2 linked regions of the Kluyveromyces lactis genome follow. Each later gene encodes a partner of the first gene's protein in a complex. Links are inferred from orthologs where the notes say so. Each region holds a gene or a part of one and is shown in the gene's direction. Other genes may lie near its edges.

Region 1 (8,167 bases):
GGAGGAGGAGGCGGTGGAGGAGGAGGAATGCCGTCTGTTGGTTTTCCTGGGAGGGTTTCGTTTGGGAATGCAACTGATAAAGATGTATCTTCTACTGTGGATTCCTTGTTCAGGGATGACAGAGTTGATGGTAATGGTGGAGGCGGAGGTGGAGGCGGAGGTGGAGGCGCGACATTTGACGAAGCACAGGAAGCAGAACTAGTTACTAGGGCCGGTCCATTGGTCATTGGTGAGGTGAAGGCTTCTATACTTTTCAGTTGAGGCGGTAAAGGTGGTGGTGGAGGCGGCGGAGCCGCTGGTGCTGCAATAGAAGCAGGAATCACAAATGCTGTTTGGGCTGATGGAACTTCTGTGGTCGTTGCTGATACTACATCATTACTGGAAGATAGTTTTGGGAGTGCTGATACCTGATGGAATATGTCGTTCTTGCGTGGATATATCGGAGTCACTGGAAGGTCATCGTCAGAATTGTTATTCAAGATGTTATAAGGGGTAGAGTGCGGATATTTTGACTGAGGTTTTTCATTTGCAACAGTGGATAGCGATGCTATACGTTTACTTTTTGATAAGGAAGTTGATCGTTGAGTACCAATAAGCGGTTTATGTTCTTTTAAAGTCTCAAACAGTGACACAGAACGTTTTGGTGTATATTCTGCTACATCTCTATGGGCGATAGTGAGATCCAACTGTTTCTTTTCTTTCTTTAGCTGATTTTCTACAACTTCCAATCTGTCTTGCAATTCTTCTATTCTTATTTCCCTTGATTTCAAAAGTTCTTCTTTATTTTCTAATTTCTGCAGTAGATCCCCTTTGGAAACCTGTTTGTCTTGTAGCAATGTATCCAATTGAAGTTGTATTCCATCAAATTCTTTCTTCTTTTCATCCAGTTCCATCATTGCTCTTTTGGCAATTTGATGGGATTGTAAGTTATCCATTATATGATCTAGTGAGGTCATGAAAACTTGTTCCGTGTTGGTTTCATCAAAGCTACCATCCAAGGTATGTTCGCATAGATAGGTTAGAATAGAATTGAAAACATAGAACAGTTTTATTGAACCTTCCGTTGTTCTTTCATTTACTAGCTCCAAGATCGTTTCTATAATATTGCAAATAGGCGTTTCTAACGGCGTATCTTTAGTATATTCGATTAAACTCTTGATTTGAGGACCATAAGATATTTCACTCAGAAACTCATTTTTGAACTGTTTGTCTTGCACCTTCAATTCAAGTTCGATATACAGGTCTATGTCCTGATTCAAAGCTGATGAGTCTAAATCCTTCATTAGCCGGAAAACCCGGTGTATTCCAGCTCTCTTCCATCTTTTGAAACACGCCAGTTTTAGATCATTGGAAGGCAGAAGTTGTTGAATGGATTGAACCAGTAACAATGTAGATATAGAGTAATCTACGAGCAATTCTTTTGGTTTTGGAAGAATTAAAGAGTTGTTAAACGCATAATCCTCCGGGTTTCGAAGAGTCATTTCTACTGCCTGGATCCAACTTTCGTAGCACAAATCTAACGATTCCAACAAAGAATCTGACCATTCAGTGGAATATGTCAGAAGGATCACAATTTGGGTAGATAAAAGACGAACTCTAAGGTCAGTTGTGAGCGTTCCTAAAAGGCAGAAGACGTAAGTTATCCAATCATTATTCTGGAATATCACAGATCTTGCTGAAGTATCGTTAAGCAATGCTTTATAACAGCATAAGTACACGTACTGGGATTTTTTATCCAATAAATCAATGAACCCATTCAAAATCGAAACTCCGTTTGCATTCACAAACAGCGAAATAAAATCAGCATGTCGAAGTAAACGTTCCAATTGATAAAGTGTTTGAGTAACCGAGAATCTCTTATTCAAATTGCTCAAAATCATATGTAAAGTATTCAATTTTGAATCGTCTTGCATCGTTATATCACCATGTAGTTTCTTTTCCTTCTGAATCAATTCCCATTTACGGGTATACGACAAGCTTTTCAAATTTTGCTTAGCAGTACCTAGAAACGCATGTCCATTCAATAACTCTTCAAACTTGGCATCAATTTCTTGTTCTGACGGTAGCTGAGTGTCTGCTAAACACATTTTATCCGTTTTAGAAACATGTCGCGTAGAATCAACGTTCGGAGTTGAAAAGTTGTGTGATTTCATGTATCGCAGGGTCTGGGAGCGAGGTTTGAGCCCTGTTCCTACTAGATTCAGCCCTTGTATTACCAGATCATCGTTGGAATCATTGCTAGAAAACCTGGTCTTGGCATTTGCAGTCGGAGCATTAATGGATCCAGATCGAAGCGGAAACAAAATACTAATGGATTTTTCATTCTTATCAACAGTCATTGGTCGGTCAAAGTTTGTTGATTTTCAGTTGCAGAATTATAGCCAGAAAAGTGATTTGATACTCATCAATACAAGGAAAACGCGATCATTCAATAATGATCTGGGAGATAGCGAAATAATTTCACTAGATAAACGCTTGTACAAAAAACAATTTGTCAAAGAAAACGATTAATTCTAATGATTAGCAAAGCTGATTGTAGAACAGTTTTAGACTCTCTTCAAGTGTACGTATTTATGGATTTCCTTTGTGTTACAAAACATGTGTACTAAATTTCATACGCTTTTAGTGCTTCATTTTGTTACGTTCCTTAATAGATGGATCAAAAATTAAAAAACGTAAACAAAAACAGGATCAAAAGCTCAGAAACGCACTTTGGAAAGGAAGAAGAGACCAGAAGGAAACAGTACGCGACACGTGAAACAATCTATAGATACTAGTCACGTGAGTTGGATCTTCTTTGCTACCCGGGGTAAGTTTTTTCAACTTGGGGGTTACCCCGCATGCGACGTTGGTCTTTCATTTTTAGGGTATTTCATAACGAAAACCGGAATTAGTGTGACAATGCCGATCTCCAATTCTACGACATAGCCTTGAGCAAAGGCAAATTTGAGACTGTAGTTAGATTAAGTCAGGATCATTGTTAATGACATCGTGGAGCTCCGTAAAGTTTCTGCTTTTCAGTGTTGATGATTAACTGCGAGCTTAATGGCCGTGAAGAAGGGATGTATGCGATCATTAAATCCTCTTTAACATACTCCAAAACGACGGCTGGTTGGTTCTGCTCATTGTTCGTTATTCCCCATATTTATTTTAGCGAGTGATCCCTTTGACAAATAATTTTTTGTATAAATTACGTACATAAATGTGTCATGCTGACATTATTCCTTTATCACTGACTTTTATCAGATGAATTGATTGACAAGTGAACATCATAGGGCAAGATATAAGTATACTACAGGCGAGTACAGTCAATCAGAAATATAATATGGCTAGCAGACTTCAACAATTAGAGAAACATTTGACAGGACGCAGTTCTGAAAAGGATATAAAGAGTAAGAATCCGGACGATGTGGTTGTTGTAGCTGCGTATCGTTCAGCTATTGGTAAAGGGTTCAAAGGAGGATTCAAAGATGTTAACACGGATTATTTACTTACACAGTTTCTGAAGGAATTTTTTGAGAAAGTTGACATTGATAAGAGTGTCATTGAAGAAATTGCGTGTGGTAATGTGTTGAATCCCGGTGCAGGTGCGACAGAACATAGAGCTGCGATGTTAGCTGCTGGTTTGCCATATCAAACTCCGTTAGTGGCTATTAACAGACAGTGTTCCTCAGGGTTAACTGCCGTTAACGACGTTGCAAATAAGATCATTTCTGGGCAGATCAATGTAGGGTTGGCTATCGGGGTGGAATCTATGTCTAAGAACTATGGTCCGAAGGCTCTTGGGTCTATATCAAATGAGTTGAAATCGAACACGGCTGCTGCTAAGTGTATGATACCAATGGGATTTACTAATGAAAACGTTGCTAAGAAGTTCCAAATTTCAAGAGAAGACCAGGACAAATTTGCCCTGGAGTCATTCTATAAAGCGGAAAGGGCTGTCTCACAGGGATTGTTTAAAGATGAAATCATCCCTATTGAACTACCAGACGGATCTATAATTGCGCAGGACGAAGGTCCTAGAAAGGGCGTCACTTTCGAATCGTTACAAAAGATTAAACCTGCATTTGTGAAGGAAACAGGTGTGACAACTGCCGGTAACGCTTCTCAGATATCAGATGGTGTTGCTGGTGTGTTGCTAATGAGAAGATCCATGGCCATGAAATTGGGTTTGGAAATCGTTGGTAAGTACGTTGCGTTCCAGGCAGTAGGTGTTCCACCTGAGATCATGGGTGTTGGCCCAGCATATGCGATTCCAAGAGTCCTCAAAGACTGTGGTTTAAATGTCAACGATGTTGATGTTTACGAGATTAATGAGGCCTTTGCAGGGCAGGCCATTTTCTGTGTCAACCATCTAAAAATCGACAAGAAGAAATTGAACCCAAGGGGAGGCGCGATTGCCTTAGGTCATCCTTTGGGCTGCACTGGTGCCAGACAAGTCGCTACCATATTAAGGGAATTAGACGCTGGTCAAATTGGTGTTGTTAGCATGTGTATCGGTACTGGTATGGGAGCTGCTGCAGTCTTCGTCAAGGAGTGAGTGAATATTAACGTGTGTATAATGTAGTTTCCCTCTTCTGTAATGACCATTTCGATGAATATGATGAGTAACTCATATTATTCGCTACTGTGTTTTTTTTTCAATCAGAGAGTTTTGACATCAGATTCTTCTGTACCGTGTCCCTATTTATATACTCCGGAGACTGCAAAGAATTCCAGTTGGTAACCAAATAGTTTAATTGTATAACTAGCGGCTGTTTATCTTTGAGTAAAGCTTTTGATTTATAATTGAAATTGTTTACAATTCGTGATAACGGGTCATCTGAAGAACAGTCTTTCGGTTTACTTAGCTTTATGGCGGATTGAGGATAATCGACCGGAATGTTGAAAACACATTTCACTTTCTTTTGATTCTGATCTTGATCAGTGGTAATAAACGTTAGCGAGTAGGTCGTGACATATTGTCCTTTCCTTAACATTACAATATCTGACCCAGCCAAATGGCACAATTGGTCAATTTCGGCTTTTCTTTGCAACTTCAAGGCATTTCTCAATTTGAATTTTTTCTCTGCATTTTCATTATGGGATGATTTGGCGGTAATTTCAAGACTGGTTGCCTTCTCTGCAGGTACTGATTTTTCTGCCTTTGACCGTCTCCCTCTCTTCCTCCTATAACTATGTCCAGCATTTTTTCTCTTGTCAGCTTCACTCTCTTTCGTATGTTTAATTACGCCATTCTCAACTTTTCCTGCAGCTTTCGCAGACATGATGGTAACCCGATTGCTTGGCCTGATATTTAGAATCTCTCAAAATAATATCTACCGAGCAGAGTACGCTGAAACGGTTGAGATACCAATGGTTATATAGCTTAAGTTCTTTTTCATAGCTCCCTCATTCTCTATAAACTGATCTCATCTCATATTTCATTAACTTACCATGTCTACTGCCTAAATGCATAAAGTTTCAGTTTTTTTTCACAAAATTGGTACCTGATTGTTGTAGAAAAAACGTGACCAGAGTTGCGACACTGCCTCAATGAATACCGACTCATTCCTGAAGGCATCGAATAAAGAAACATATAGTCATTGGCGGTCAATTTCTGGAGATTTGAAAGTGAATTCAATCTATCAAACTTGATATTCAACCTCCTTAGTTTCTGAATTATGATGTTTTGACTATTACGTGGCTTCTGAGCTTTCAGGTGTTCACCTCTAATACTGTTCTTTGATGGTATCGAGAAGGCAACAAACAAAATCTCGAAGATCATGATCTTCCTCATCTTTTTGAAATTTATTAAAGAATACTACAACTTTTTTAGACTTCCGTGGAAAACATTTCCTATTTAAAGCAAAAAACGAGCTTTCCTTTAGTTAATTGAGGTTTTTGACGGTCAACATAAGTAAATCTAGGAATACTATCACCATTTAATCTCTAGTTAGCATTCCGTAAAAAATTTGTGGCACGACATACTCTCTGCTGTTTTCTCCTTTGTTACATTTTTGAGCGCTGCATCGACCGTTCTATGTTTTGTTTAAATATGCAGGATACGCCATTTTTGTATTTTAATTCCGAATTAATAACGACTTGAAGAGCATTTTTTCCCTAAACTGAACCTTAAACTCAAAACAATAACAGAAAAATTCCGTAAAAAACTTGAATCTGTGCGCTAAAAAAGCTGTTTCTTAATTGAATGAATTTTGGATGGGAGATATATATATATATTCTCACACATCAAGATAAATAAGTAACTGATTGAAAATCTATATTCTTCTATATTATAATTGAAATAGTACAACTTTGGCATGATATTTGTTCCAGTTTAGAGGATTCATTTAAAGTGATTGACTTCGTTATTTTTTTGGACATTGAAAGGGAATATTAACTTAGATGGGGATAAAGTCATGATCAGGATTGATGATATTCTGATAAGCACCAATTGCAACATTAGCTTTGATGGCGTTTAGCTTGTCTACACTATTTTTAGCAACTGCCATTCCGCTGTCGGTGATTTTACTCAAAAGGTCGATGAAATGGACATAAAGCACATCATCTTCAGCTATAATACATGTGAGTGCTCCTACGAACAACGATGGATGGCAGCACACCCCACAAGATGAGTAATAAGGGTTGCTATAAGAAGTTTTCACCATTGTGTATAGAATACTTTTGATCTCAGGAGATTTTGGATCAACATCAAGAAAGTACACCTTGAGATAGACTTCCATTAGAAAGTAAAACATGCTATGCGATGCAAGCATTGAAAATTTCAACCTTAGGTCAGTCACGTCGATGAGATTCAATTCTAGATTCGAATCTAAAACTGCTGAACGCTGTAATTCATCCAGCAATTCTCTACCGAACATAGATAATTGAGGTAAAACTGATTTTGTCGTTCCGTTGACTTTGAAAAGGAAAATGTTTAATCCGGAAATATCGACGCCTTTGTCTTTAAATTCGAACATTCGCAACAAGAGGTGGAAATACACAGAGTTGAGGTTATTGGACATACCTTTCAAGAGATTGAAAGAATTGCCTGTTAACGACAACGGAGAGCTTTCAGTAAGGAAAGCAGTCTTTGTGAATTCAGTGATATCAATTAAAGAAATTCCAAAATTCGATGCGATTGAAGCGGCTGTTTCCGCATGACAGAACCAATCCCTTAAAACACTGTAAATATCAGCAGCATTCTGCTCTAGATCGGTCAATTGACCCTTTGGCATCAATATTGATGCTCTGATCAAAAGCTGTTGACATCCTCTAAGATGAGTTCTCCAGAGATTACTTCTCAAGGCACTATTAGCAAAAAACATGAGGAACACGGTGAATGTTAAGCAAACATACTCCACAAAGTCTTGAGAATTTTGGATTCTTTCATTGATGGTTCCCAACACTTGTTTGAAACTTAAGGCTCTTACATAACGATCCCATATTTGGGAGAAATGATGCAACTTTGCATTTTCATACACGTCCTGCATAAAAACTGAGATGTCATATCGTATAGCATCTTGGACAATTGTATGTTTCTCATTCAAAGACCAGAGACACCGCATGAAGGTATCGAATCTATCATGAGGAAATAACAAGAAATTACCCGCGATCAAAGTCGTACAAGCAAATCTCCAAATGAAGTTAGTTAGGTTGGGATCATCGATTCTGATTTCGCTGATCGCAATTGGATTTACACTTTTGTATGCAGTTTGGAATGGATCCTCTTTCTCTAAAAGTTGTAACATATCTATCCAGACAAAGTTTCTCCAATTTATATCGTATGGTTTTAAAAGAGGTACCCAGTTCTTTAATTCTGTGGCTGAGGTATTAGGTTTGGCATTAAGGTTTGGTAAGCTCAGTAATTTGGCGTCTGATGGGGAGACACAAATGAGATTTTGTAAGTTAAAGTCGTTCAAATCCAGCAGTTGAGCAAAATCAGGTTTCACATTCCAGTGTAATGAATCTGCTTGCTGGGTTGAAAGTTGTTGTTGTTGTTGCTGCTGCTGCGGTATATTAGACAGCAATTGTAAATGTTCCTGCTGTCGTTGTGGTGGCTGTTGTTGTTGTTGTTGTTGTTGTTGTTGTTGTTGTTGTTGATGTTGTGGCTGTTGTTGCTGTGACAGCTGCGGCAGCAGCAATGGCAGTTGTGTAGGTATTTGTGGTTGTCCCTGCGGTTGTC
Region 2 (7,781 bases), on another chromosome or scaffold:
ATTTGAGGAAACAAATGAGGTCGAAGTAAATGTTTTTTAAGGGTGGGACTTTTGTATTGTACTTACTAGTGACAGGAAGAGAGGGCAGTCATGATTTTAGAACAAAGAGAAAACAGCAGCAATAGCGTTTAATTGTGGGAGAAATGACAAAATCTATATGGATATATGAAACGCTTAAATATACATACAATATCTACAGGGGATATATAGCAGTTAGAAATTGTGGAATAAAAGACCATGCTGCCAGATAAAAAGGAATAACAGGGGAAGAAGAAGGTAAAAGATTGGTGACTCTAAATATAAGCATGTCAAGTAAAACGAATACTAAGAGCACAACATTGTGGAATTGGGGAGGGGTAAGCGTTATACTTTGTGCGTGTTTGTAAGGGGGGGGGGGGGGTCATTAGATCATTCAAACGATATTTATAATGAGGGTTCTTGCTTTGTGAACAATAAATGTTTAGCAAATTCGTAAGAGGTCCAGGAGATAGCAGTTGCAGGGATATTAGAAATAACTCTTGGTTGTAAACCTCTCCAGAAACCTTTCCAACCGTAAGATTGCCATATGGCTTGAGCAGCTTTCTTGAAAGTATTTGCGGTTTTGAACGATTCCACATGGACGGTATCGCTCCCTCTAATCTGTAACACTGTCTTGATGCAATCTAAAGGCGTGGTAACAGCTGCACAAGTGGCACCGGCGATACCACCACACAAGCAATGGATCCAAGGGTTGTATGCATTAGTTGGGTTGAAGAACTTAGTACTGGATTCGTAAATCACGAAGTTCAAAGCTGCGAATGGGATATTCATAGCCAAAGTGGTTGGATAACTGTAAAAGAAAGCCATTGGACCTTCGTTCTTATAAATGTTGAAAGCCATTCTCCACATGGAAGAGTCACTACTCTTGGATTGCAATTGCAACCTCTGTTTGATTGTATCGAAGGGGTTCATTAATGCATCTGCGGCCACAGTGGCAGCAACACCACTGACGGCAGTTTTCAACGGCTGATGGGTATTGAAATCCTTAGCGTCGATCAACTGTTCTTTACAAAATTCATAAGTTGCAAAATATACTGCATGAGCAGGGCCTGCACCCATCACCATAGACTGCACACCTCTCCACAACGCAAGGGACCCCTCTGTAGAAGAGATTCTCGATATCTGTTGTAAAAGGGTACCCGCACCGGCACCACCACTGGCAGCACCGGCACCACCAGATGCCGACGCCGACGCCGCAGCCTTAATTTCCGATACTGCTTGCATTCTAGTCTTCAAAGCATCGATAGGAAACATGATCGAATGTTCCATGATACCTGCAAACGCTCCTGCAATCAATTGATATGATAGTGGTGCAGTATCTGGCAAAGCCTCATAATCAATCTCCTGAATACCTGGGTCAGACATGCTAAAATGATCACTCTCTTTCTCTTTTTCTATCAGACCAAAACTCAATCAAACCAAGAAAAAAAATAGCAGAGTGTTTCAAAACTAACAACTTCTTACCTGATTAAAAGGATTCGGTGGTGTATTAAGACAAATTCTGGGATTGTTGATGAACCAAATGCTGTCAAAACTCGGTCTCTTCTCTCTCTTTCTCTGTATCTATACTGATTGAAGAGTTTGAATTTTTCAAATTTTTCACAATTTAGGCTTTCACTCTATGTAAAGGAAACAAAAGCGCAATAAACTGGACCTGAAATCTGGGTGAAGAAGCAACGACTTAGCCGGAGGAAAAACGGTTCTTGCCTTGCTGAATGATACCGGATAACTATAAACTAATCTGAATATTCAGCTACTGTTATATAATTATCTAAAATTGGATACTGAACCCAGGAAGGGTATCAAGATATATTCTCCGTTTATACATCAATTTTTCATCATTACAATATATTCTCTTTCTCTAATGATGCAACGGAAAATTGACAAATGACCAATAAATGGGCGACTCATCTGGCACCAATCGAAAAGAAATACACGATGACTGACTTAATTAATTTAACCGGTACAGTACCCAGCCATGTGATACCTAAATTTGATGCCTTGGCTCGAATAAAGGAACTTAAGCCATACGAGTGAACAGGGCAGCTTTCGCTGCCCTGTTCACTACTAAATTGCCTGTTCAAATTGGCTTTGCCCTTTGGCAATGACAGATTCTATTTCTTTTTCTTCCTTTAACTACTGGCATATTGAGTTAAGAAACACCTGGGAATGATCTCCGGGTAACGCGGAAAAAAAACCCACCTCTTGCTGCACCCCTTTTTTCATTGTCCACACTGTGCTTTGCCCGATTTTGCGGGTGTCGCACGACGACGGAGTTTATTTCCGCCGTTTCAGGCAAGGGAAGAGCTGAAACGGCTGAGTGACGGGTGGCGGCCGGGTAAGGAAAGAAAATACACTGATTACATAATACCATCCACGTGACGTAGTCACGTGGATGGTATTATGTAATCTCAGAGTTGAATGTCCGAAAGCATTCTTTTTTTTTTTTCTTCCTTCCTTTTCCTTTTCCCCCGGGGTTTAAAAATTCCGTTCCGTCCCGACCGGCATTCATTATGCAACTAATCGTCTTTTAGATTATCAAAATGTCAAATGATTATTCCATTTCGACCGAACTACCGCCTCTCCACTTGCTTACGTACTGTTTTTGGGTTCCCTCATCTAATAGCTTCCTCAATCGGCTAGAAGTGCCAGTACTGGTCTTCAGAAGTCCATAGAAAGCCTCACTGTTACCCGGGGGGTTTGCGCATCTGTCGCTCTTTCACTTTTTTTTTTTTTATTCACTTCCATTCCACATCTTTCAACCGTTAGTGGTCTGAACTTGTTTCATTTCTTTATTCATAATTTCTTTCTTTCGTCCAGGTTCTGCATTTATTATATATATATATATATATGTATATAAATAAAGTTTGTACATTGCTTGTTTCGATGATTTGCGGACTAGTTGTCTTATGTCTGTTGCTCGAGGAGACTACCACCAACCAAGAAATATAATACCATGTCAGTGTGTCAAACGAATCCTTTGAACACTCTTGTTTCGAAGTCTGGTTATAGGTTCGGACAGCCGAATCAGCACCAACAGAGCATCGCACAGCAGCAGAGCAGACCAAGAAATAATGCACTAGACCACCAGTTCTCTCAGTTTACTGGTGCCTCGGGTCCCAGTTTCGCTCATCCACAGCATCAACAGCTGCCTATGGCAGCTGTTGTTGCTAACGCTACTACTGCAGCCAGTACTACTAGTAATACTGCTACAGCCTCTGATCACCATGTTTGGATCGATCAGTTCGCAAACATGCAGGTGCACGACAAGACCGAGTTCCCAACAGATTATAAACAGATGTATTCGCAGTACGAGGCGCGTGGCGCCTCGTACTCCATGGGTGCACCGGTGATGGTGTCCCATTCACAAATGTTCCCGCGTCATCAGCAATCTCTGATGGTGAACCAACTCGAGTCACAAGCGTATGCCAGTAGTAGCGCGAAGCTCGATGAACAATTTGCTGAACTGGAAAGACAAGTGCAAGACGATGAAAAAGAACAGCAACAGGACAAGGATGACGATTTCCATCTCAAAGAAACGTCTCCTCTAGACGAAGATCAACGCCAATTAAAAGAAGCAGCCCAATCCATTTACACAACTCTTTCAGATAAATCATCTACAACTAGTTCGAAATTTTCGAACTCCAAGTTCCTTGGACTCATGAGAAATATCAGCGATGGTGTAATAACTCTGAAAAAGAACCCAGATGAGGATAAATATACGGAATTATATTCTCCTTCTACCGGTGAAACTTTTGGCGAAGAGTATTTCCCAGTGCAGGATAGTGTTTTAGGCGACCCCTTGGACTCCATTGGTGACTTATCTAATATGAGTTCATCGGAAGCCGCTGCAAAAGTGTACCATAACTCCGTTTGAAAAAAAAAAAATAAAATGGTATTACTAAGTATGAGTGGAGGGGTATTTCTCTGTTGTCAGATCTACTGTTATTTTGTCGATACATATTGAGTTAGAGTTACTCTACACTCACGTGGAAAATCACCTGGCAGGATCACCATATTCTACTTACTTCCCAATATTAGATTAACTTAGCTAAAGCTTAGTTCCAAAAATAATCTTATTTAATGACTATAATGATACATTTCAATCTCTTTTGCTTGAGTTGATGATTCTGCCTTTCTTGTGCCGTAATCTTCCATATTGGTAGCAAGACCAGTCGCTATCGTGCCTATAGACCCATCAGCATCTTCTTCCTCTGTTGCTAGTAACCCAAGCCCGTTTTTAAACTCATTTACTAAGGACCAAATCGCACTTCCCGCATTGTCGTCACCTTTTGGCTTGCCCTCTGATTGATTTTCAGTTGCACTGGATCCCGAGTCGCCTAATCCTAACTTCGTTTCAACGGTCCCCTGAATAATTTGGTCAAATTGGTTGAGTAATGAAACGGATTTTGTCCATAACGAGCTTGATTTGTTATCAGCGGTTTCTGCGTTGTTACTTTCCCCATGGGATTCTGCAGGTAATGTCGTATTAGAGTTCTGACCTTGAACTTGATTCCCCACTAAACGGCTAACTTTTTTCTTCAACTGCTGAAGTTCTTCTGCATTCTGTTTTATTATCTTATCTTCAATCTTAATTTGCCTGAAAAGATCGTGAACTCGCCTTGTCCTTTCCAATATCTCTAGTTCCTTGTTCGCCAGTGATTGCAACAAAGATTCCATATCATTATCATCTTCAGAAACAGATGGCACTACTTTGGCGGTGTCGGTCGTAGTTGTAGGCAACTTCAATTTAGTAGCTGGACTTGCGCTAAATTCTGTGGTGGCTCCATCCGGGAGAAGTGATCCAATGCTACTTATGCTGGACCGCACAGATTTTTGTCCGTCATTTCGGTCAAGTTTTGATCGATATTTCCGTCCCAGCGGGGTATTCGATACAGACTCTGATGGTTTGCAATGCTGCTGATATGATTGACGTTGCTGCTGCTTAACTGTGTGCTCTGGAGACATTAATGGCATTATTAAAGACTTTCTTTTCCATGTGTTGCTTCTTCGTATTCCTAGCTCCTGATTGCCTCCCTTGCCATTTGTAGCAGCAGAAACCCCGTTACCATTGTTCTTTACGGTGACTTTACCGGACCCCAATGATACATCGTCCTCGTTCTCCTTCATATTGCCAGTGATATCGTCTTGATCTGAATTATCACCTTTCAACGGATGCGAGTCAAGTGTGCTAGTAGGATCAGCCTTGGTAGGCGTTAATTGCAACTGGATGTTCTTGTTTCTACCGGAACTCCCCACAGACTTGGGACTCATACCGCTGGATCCTTGGTTAAATGTAGGGGTAACGCTCCCTCTGTCCGTAACTTCATGATATATTTTACTCTTAGTATCAATATCGTTCTCTTTGTCTTGAAGGTCTATAAATTTCTCCAATACGTCTCTATCCATTGTTTATACCCAAACCGTACACATAAAGATCTAATTTGATTCAAGCCTAGCTTCTTACTACGGTCAGATCAGCCTTTTTACCCTTATCCTTAACTTGTACACTAAAATCAAGCCCCAAAGTTACTGATTGAAATGATAATTTCAGTCTTTCACAGAATTTCGTGTTGTTATGAAAATGAAACAGTGTAAACTTGAAGTTACCAGAAATAGTTCAGACGGCTGCAACTTTTTGCAGTGCGTAACAGCTTGAGGTTCCCAGCAGTGGCTTTATTACACCAGTTAGTGGAATCAAATACTTTGCATATCACATATCTGATTTATCACTTGCTAAGGAACTGGTATTGCGTATTTAGACGGTTACAAACACAAGAATGGCTCCATTCAAATTTGGAAAGAAACAGAAGAATCGGAAAGATGCTTCTGCATCTCCAAATACAACACCTAATTCTAACAGCACTATTGGTAACACTAGCTTTCAACAAGAATTGAGATCTCCTGGATCTAGTTCTACACCTACCAAACAGAACTATCCAAAACCAGCTGCAGATTCTGGGTTACTTGCGGCTCAACAACGCGTTATGGTCAGTCCTGTTGAGCAACGATCTACGTCCACTCAGAGTACCCTACAGCAGCAGGTGTTCACGCCATGGAATAGAATTAGACTAAAGCAGTCCCCTTTCCCCAGATATAGGCATGTTGCCAGCTCATATGCTACTGACAGTGGAGAATTGTTTGTAATCGGAGGTTTGCACGACCAATCGGTTTATGGAGATACATGGATAATCAAGTCACTGGACAACGCTACAAGTTTCAAGTCTATTACAGTTCCCATTGCAGATGCTACTCCACCTCCTAGAGTCGGTCATGCCTCCACACTGTGTGGGAACGCATTCGTGATTTTTGGTGGTGACACTCATAAAGTGAATGATGCCGGTTTGATGGACGATGACATATATTTGTTCAATATCAACTCTCACAAATGGACCATACCAACACCTCAAGGACCTAGACCACTTGGTAGATACGGTCACAAAATCAGTATAATTGCTGCGAACCAAATGAAAACCAAACTTTATGTGTTTGGTGGTCAGTTTGATGATACCTATTTTAATGATTTAGCAGAGTTTGACCTCTCATCTTTCCGGAGATCTGATTCTCACTGGGAATTTATTAAACCGGCAACTTTCATGCCACCACCCTTGGCTAACCACACGATGATCTCGTTTGATCATAAGTTGTGGGTATTTGGTGGTGATACTCCTCAAGGTTTAACTAACGAAGTCTTTATGTTTGATCCAGCTGCCAATGATTGGTGTGTAGTGCAGACTACAGGAAACATCCCACCGCCATTACAAGAGCATGCTGCTATCATATACCGCGATTTAATGTGTGTTTTTGGTGGGAAGGATGCGCAGGACAATTATTCAAACGCCGTGTATTTCTTAAACTTCAGGAGTCTAAAATGGTTCAAACTACCAACTTTTAATAATATGATTCCAAGAGCAAGATCCGGACACTCTCTCACTCTGTTATCAAATAATAAACTGCTAATCATGGGTGGTGACAAGTTTGATTATGCTGTTGGTAACAGCACCGATGTACGCACTTCTGATGTCGACATGGGAGCCGGTACCATTATTTACACTTTGGACCTAACAAACTTGAATGAGTTTTGTCCTGACATCTTTAAGATCGATGATGTTGATCACCTGGACAAATTTAGTACGCCATTATCGAAATCCAATGGAAGATTTGATGAATTGAAAAACAAACAAGCTTCAATTCTATCACCAGATGTACCAGAAACGGTGAACACAACTCCTGCAGTTAGAAAACGCTCTGAGTCCGGCGTCCTCGGACCTACTGCTCCTAAACCAAAATCACCAGTTCCACAACAAGATGCCAATACAGATCCTCCAAGAGTATTGTCCTTGCAGTCTCAGTTAAGTTCAGAGACGCAAAGTGACACTGATCCTGATGTTGGGTCTGTAGAAGTTGTTCAGTATAGAACTTCGCCGACAAAAGGTGATGTAAAAAAATACGCTGTTGGAACCAACTTGAGATCCTCATCGGACTATGAAAATTATTCACCATCTATCATGCATAACACAGGTGCTGAGCCTTCGCCTAAACCTAACTCCTTGTCAGATACGACGCACTTCGATAAATCCATAGATGTAATAACTGACGCTGATAAAAGCCCTGTCACTTTAAGTGAACCTGCTCGTATTGTTTCTGAAAAGAATGAAAACAACATTCTGAAAGAATTACTTGAAGAGTTGAAGCAATTGAAGGAGGATACTGTGACCAGTGCTACTAGTGCAAACAGCAGA

Evidence for each region.
Region 2: the proteins of POT1 (region 1) and PEX21 are in contact, whole or in part, in a crystal structure (PDB 3W15), measured with the Saccharomyces cerevisiae proteins. The link is inferred for Kluyveromyces lactis from reciprocal best matches to the Saccharomyces cerevisiae genes POT1 and PEX21. Residues at the interface, in NP_012106.1 of Saccharomyces cerevisiae: Met1, Ser2, Leu5, Gln6, Ile8, Lys9, Leu12, Val13; in NP_011755.3 of Saccharomyces cerevisiae: Leu199, Ile202, Ala203, Asp205, Ile206, Cys209, Cys210, Thr211, Leu231, Phe236, Met240, Ile243, Leu250, Leu262.

What each region holds. Positions count from the first base shown.
Region 1 is NC_006042.1:997,999-1,006,165, reverse strand, and holds POT1 (acetyl-CoA C-acyltransferase), read left to right. Parts: upstream 1-3,325; coding exon 3,326-4,540; downstream 4,541-8,167. Other genes in the region: formin BNR1, read right to left, coding at 1-2,339; SMU2 (Smu2p), read right to left, coding at 4,641-5,267; KLLA0_F10835g (Zn(II)2Cys6 transcription factor domain-containing protein), read right to left, coding at 6,384-8,167. UniProt on the Saccharomyces cerevisiae protein: Responsible for the thiolytic cleavage of straight chain 3-keto fatty acyl-CoAs (3-oxoacyl-CoAs).
Region 2 is NC_006041.1:1,382,807-1,390,587, forward strand, and holds PEX21 (Pex21p), read left to right. Parts: upstream 1-2,995; coding exon 2,996-3,916; downstream 3,917-7,781. Other genes in the region: HFL1 (Hfl1p), read left to right, coding at 1-29; KLLA0_E15445g (uncharacterized protein), read right to left, coding at 424-1,404; TDA11 (Tda11p), read right to left, coding at 4,120-5,448; KLLA0_E15511g (uncharacterized protein), read left to right, coding at 5,820-7,781. UniProt on the Saccharomyces cerevisiae protein: Receptor that mediates peroxisomal import of proteins containing a C-terminal PTS2-type peroxisomal targeting signal via its interaction with PEX7.